Linked DNA regions of Caenorhabditis elegans. The protein of the gene in region 2 interacts with the protein of the main gene of each other region in a pairwise test. Each region holds a gene or a part of one and is shown on either strand. Other genes may lie near its edges.

What was found.
Region 1: the proteins of ssp-35 (region 2) and ZK945.6 interact in a two-hybrid assay, tested with the Caenorhabditis elegans proteins (one large-scale study listed by BioGRID).

Annotation. Positions count from the first base shown.
Region 1 is NC_003280.10:10,105,517-10,108,674, forward strand, and holds ZK945.6 (Ovule protein), read right to left. Parts: upstream 1,455-3,158; 5' UTR 1,387-1,454; coding exon 1,356-1,386; intron 1,310-1,355; coding exon 1,202-1,309; intron 1,150-1,201; coding exon 982-1,149; intron 939-981; coding exon 595-938; 3' UTR 564-594; downstream 1-563. Other genes in the region: putative RING finger protein ZK945.4, read right to left, coding at 1-41, 90-180; ZK945.7 (uncharacterized protein), read right to left, coding at 2,006-2,070, 2,114-2,491, 2,539-2,706, 2,750-2,888.
Region 2 is NC_003283.11:12,262,966-12,265,814, forward strand, and holds ssp-35 (MSP domain-containing protein), read right to left. Parts: upstream 859-2,849; coding exon 535-858; downstream 1-534. Other genes in the region: tbb-6 (Tubulin beta chain), read left to right, coding at 1-114, 169-296.

The DNA.
Region 1 (3,158 bases), on a different chromosome or scaffold from region 2:
TATTTTTCCTGCACATCCTGTACAAATCGTGTGACCACATTCTGGAAGATAAAATAATTTTTAATTAAGAATCAAAACACACGGTGTACCAGTCAAAATTCTAGGGATTAGGAGCTTTTCGTCTTCTGAATACTCCTGCCCGCAAATCCCACACTCCGGAAAGCAGCGGAGCATATTCATGGCAAGTTCTGGAAACGAAGAAAAAATATTCGAGTGTATGAAATGAATGGGAAATTTCGTTATTGTCGTTGTTGAAAACGAAAATGTTCGTTTAAAATACGAAAAACGAATACGAAACAAGAAACAGCGCGATGACACCAATTGACCACAAATTTGTGTAAATTTGGAGCAATTTCCGGAGATCAAACAGAGAAAGAAAACACTTTGAATATTCTTGATATGCAGAGAGTGTTCGAAAACTAGAAAAAGAGAGCGCGAGGAACAAAAGTAGAAAGAGTATAATGTGCACACGCGAGGCGACAGGGGGCCTAGGCAGTTGTTGTTTTCAACTCGTTTTAGACTTTGGAGACGCAGAGTCAGATATGCAAAACTATTATCTTCAATGAGAAAAAATGTATTTTATCAAATAGCTATTCAATAGTTCTGTTCAATTTTCCGAACCCATTCTTCAAACTCTTCAGACGTCGGACCAAGTTCTGCGGTTGAAGCGTCATCCGAATTGACTGATGCATTGGATGTTGAACCATAGTCTTCAAGAATCTCAAAATCATCTGGCGGGCACGGAATAGCAAGGTTGACACGTGGATCGAAGTAAACTGGTTCCAAATGTTGCTCCGATTGAGCTAAGCACTCCAGAGAATCAACTACAGTAACCTTCTGATCATCACACATCATTTGAAATCCGGTGATTTTGCCTTGATCACGCCAGACTTGGAGCGGCGACGGTTGATGATTGAGGTCGAAAGGATCATCTGAAGCTGAAAATAAATTTTTTAAAATTTAATTGAGACGGAATCCCACCTTTAACATAATCTTGTTCCATAGAACTCAAATCCGATGCTGTACTGAAAGACATCTGAGTATTCAAAGAAGGATCTGCATAGGCATCCAACTTTTGTGCCACTGTCTCCAATGATACAGCTGTGCAGACCGATGTACAACTCAAAGATTCTTCGATTGCGGTTATCACTGAAAAATCTGGTGATTCAAGATCATCTGAAATCGTTTAAAGGCAACTCACAGTTACTAATAATATCTGCTTCGTTCGTGTTACTACACTCCTTGCTTTTGATGACTCCATCCAAATTGATATCCACTTCTGAACCAATCTTTTCGAGAGCAATGAAATCTGAAATTCTACGGTTCAGACGGCATGACAAACTCAGTAAAATTACCATTGACGACATCTTCCTGAGAACACTCCATGATTATGATCTCTCGAGATGTGATCGATTTGAAAATTTTTTTGAAATGAAATTTTGAATATAAGAAAATGAACATTGAGGCATTAGTAGGAAAGACGTGAAAACATTTAATTTTATAAAAATTTAAAGAACACGGTTGCCACGTGATTGGTGAAAACTTGTACAAAGAATTTATAGATGCTCACAGAGGCAACTCCTTTCGAACAGTTCTCTCAAAAAGTAGGAAATAATGGAAATTGAGAAGAAGCACCACATTTTATGTACAGTTAACATTAAATAGCATGGTAGAAGTAACTTAGAACCACGAGGCTGGTAGATCGCAACAAGGGCGGGTGAAGAATTGATGCAAATTTCAGATTTATAGGGATAAGACAACTCTTTTTAGAAGAATTCCCGTCTTGTTAGGTGTTCAACCCGGGAGCCATGACGGGGCTCATTTTGTCCGCCTCGCTTTCATGTGTGCAAAAGGCGGCCAGGCACAAGTCTCGTTTCCATGAACTATCGTAATAGTCATCAAAAAATTTGCTATACAAAAAACCAAGAAATTACGAATGCATAGACAACAACAAAAATGATTCGACATTTTTTATAGACCAAGTTCAATAATTTGTTCCGATTCTTCAGATCTCGTGATGGATTGAACTGGCATTGGATGAACGCAAGAGGTAGCTTTCCACAGATTTGGCTGAAATTGAAAATATTATTTCTTAAATAAACTTCACTCTTACCAGTTTTTCCAAAATCAGGATTCTGATCGAAATCCACCGGGATTGGTTGGAATTTGTCCAACTGATGAAGGCATTCAATTGAATCAATGATCTTCGCATTCGAAAAATTGCTGCACTCCAATCCAATCACTTTGCTATCCGGAATCCCGAGCTCGGCTTGAAGGCGCTCTACGTAGGCGGTGGTGTCGAATGTTGGATGAGCTGATTTTGCAGTGTGCTCTGACGCCAAATCCTGAGCAACGTTCTTGAGAACATCAGCCATTGTGACGTTGGTCTCCGAGGCAAGGGCAGTGTACTCCGAGAAGCTTGCAACATTCATTGTAACATTTGCTTCTGATGGTGGCATTGAGTAGACAGAGTAGTCAAGAACGTTCATCACTGAAAATTTTTGGTTTTTCAAGATAGAGTTGTTGCAGTTAACTTACAGTCTTTGCACCGCTCGAACTTCTCATTCATGGTCACTGGGGTCTCGGATTTTGGAGCAGAGTAAACGGACAAATTGAATTGATTGATATCTTGACATGGCTGGAACCCTTCGCTAGCTGACACATTTGTTTCTGATTTTGGGATTGGGTAGATCGAAGAATCAGCTTCTGTAAACTCAATATTCCCAAAAAAAAGACAATAAAAACTTACGATCATCTGGCGTCTCATTGACAGCGATAATTTCTTTGGCAAGCACCTCATTGATGGAGCAATTTGTCTCCGATGGCTGAGCAGAGTACACGGAGCACATTCCATCCTGATCCATTTGGTTGTCGAACGAGGAAGCCATAGCTAACCAATCAATTGAGCAGATTGTTTAATCCGACGGTTGAGGTTGTCGGACGAGTATGTAGCAATAAATTGTTAGTGTGGCAAGGGGGAGGTAAGGGGAATTCAAAAGTTCACGTTAAAAGTTCAATTTTTTTTTTGAAATTTATAAATTTTTTTGAAATTTGAACTTTTTATAGTGGAATCATGGCATTTTAAATATATATAAATTGTCAAATAAATAAAAGTGTAAGTCCACGATTCCAGGGAAAAAATTCAAAGTTTTATTCAT
Region 2 (2,849 bases):
CAAATACCGATGTCTGTGATATTCCATCGAGAGGACTCAAGACATCTGCTACTTTCATTGCAAACTCCACTGCAATCCAGGAACCACTCAAACGTATTTCTAAGCAGTTTGCAGGTGAGATTTCATAAGTTTAGAAGTTAGAGCAAATTGTATGAAACTACTCTACAGGCCTGTTCCGTCGCAAAGCATTCCTTCATTGGTACACGATGGAAGAGTCGGAGTTCACTGACGCCGAGAACAAAGTGAATGATCTTATCTCGGAGTTCCAACAATATGAGAAAGTTCATTCAGCCTAACTTCTCCGTGTTGAGATTTCAGTTTGATATCGAAAAAATTTTCTTAAATGATTACCAAATATAGTGGGAAACCACATCAGATAATGAACAATATTATACGTTGAATTATAATCGTTTCAGATATTTATTGATTGAAACATTCATAGGCAGAGTTAAACGAGAAAAAGCCCGAAGGCAGGAAATAATAATCATTTATTATTTAGTGTTTCAGATTATTTGGTGATTTAGATCTATTTTCTCATTCGGCAGTGATCTTCACGATGACTTCACCTTGCTGTGCTCCAGCTTTGAATGGTGCTTGAGGATCAGTCTCATCGGCTGGCACTTCAGCATATTGAATGACAAGCTTGTCAACTTTTGGTGGTCCAGCAATACGATTGATATCCAACTTGGTTTTTCCCTTCGGATCAATGAATCCGTAGACGGGACGAACACGGTAGTGCTCATTGTTCGACGATTTCACCTTGAATGCCAAACGAGAATCCGACTCCGAGACGATGTTGTGAACCGAATTACCTCCAGATGCAGGGAAGTTTCCAGTTGGTGGGTCGACGTTGATCATTCTTCAAAACGACGGTAATGGTCTTCAACTTCAAAAGAAGGGAATAAATCGTTTTAATCAATTTTGCCAGAATGTTGACATTTAGATAACCTTTACTGATAAAATAATCAGGCTACGTGAATGATGTGGAAAATTTAAATTTAAAAAACAATTAAACAAGAATTTGAATTATTTTTAGTTTCTATTTTTCTACTCGTTGTTTCATCATGTGGGCGTTCTTCTTCCTGTGGTTAGTTCAATTTTATTGTCAACTCGAAATATGTTCTCACTAAATGTTAAAATTAGAACTTCAATCTCGTTTCCTCCGAAGGGATGATACGGGCACTCAGGTTTACAGTAATGTAGGAAAGTAAGGTAACTGGAACGTAGCTAGGCGAATACGTACGAAGGCGTAAATTATAGATAGACACGTTCTGAAAAAGGGGCGGCCCTTATAAAACATGAAAGCCACAGCACACATCTGAAAAATTCTAGAAAAAAATATATCAAGTTGGTTATTTTCTAGTATTTTCTAGTTAAATTTTTTCCAGGATGACACTAACTGTAATTACATTTCTTTTGATCATCGGTAGATGTACAATTCTCATTTATCTTGTCTTCTGTGTACCAATTCTAATGACAATCCTCTAATGACACAAGTGAATCTAGTTCGGTAAATACACTTGTTACAAATAGTTCGTCCATTTTTATTATTTTAGCATCGAGAAGTATTTTTCAAGAAGTTGAATTTTGGCGGACATCGTGGATCACCAAAAAGAGCTCCTGAAAATACGATTGAAAGTTTGAAAAAAGCAAAGGAAGACGGTTGTGATCTTGTTGAATTTGATATTCATATGTCATCGGATGGAGTTCCACTCTTAATGCATGACGATACAACTGAACGGACTGGAAATGCAAAGCTGAAAGTTGAACATTCCACGTGGCAACAATTGGAAGCAGTTGTATTGAATCCTGTTAAGTGAGCAAGTTTTCAATTTCGATTAAAAAATTCTAAAAGTATTTTAGCGGAGTTAATGCAAAAATTCCACGACTCAATGAAGCAATCGATTTTTGTGTGGAGAATGGACTGAAGATGTTATTTGATATGAAAAATGATAACTTGAAGCTTATGGAAGCAGTTTCTGAAGAAATCAAAAAACGAAATCTATATGATCAGGTCATGGTTAGCAGTTTCAATCCAATTGTCCCGTGGAGGCTAAAGAAAATTGATCCAAAAATTATCACTGGTATTATTTTTTCTTTTGAGAACATGCCTTTAACATATTCGTTTTTTTTCAGGAATCACTGTCGATAGATCTTATTATTCATACAGCGATGATCACAGAAAAAGTCCATTCTCCACAAGTTTCTTTGCTCATTTTTGGAATGAAATTCTTGATGAGATTAATATGATTATTCAACCACTCTATATTTTACCCAGATTTCTAGGAGTTGATGTGGTTATGATCAGTTTTCAACTGATTTCAGAGTAAGAAAATTGATTTTAATATAACATTAAAATGAATCAATTTTCAGAAACGCCGTTCGGGAATCAAACGAAAAAGGATTTTCAGTCATTTCGTGGACAGTAAATGATGAAGATTACATGAGAATTCTTACAAAACTCAATGTTCCATTCTTGACGGATATTGGTTCTGAAGTTGATCGGAAAATGTTTATGAAAAAATAAAACTTTTATTTAAAATGTTTTGCTAAAGTCCCGATTAGATTAACAGATGTGTAAAAGATGTGGTGCAGGTTGGAAACGACATGGTTCAATTTAATTCATATATTTTATTGTTTTAGGCAATTAATTTCAAGTTTAATCCGTATTAATTTTCGGCGTGCACTCTTCCAAGTTGGTGAAACTTCAAATAAAGTCTGGATCTAGATTACAACAAGTTACCGTAAAAATTCATTCAAAAACAAAGCTCGAGACATGGAAAAATAATAATTTGACGTTCTGTCAAATTTTTAATTCCATAAAGAAGGACAAGAATTGACTGAAAAGC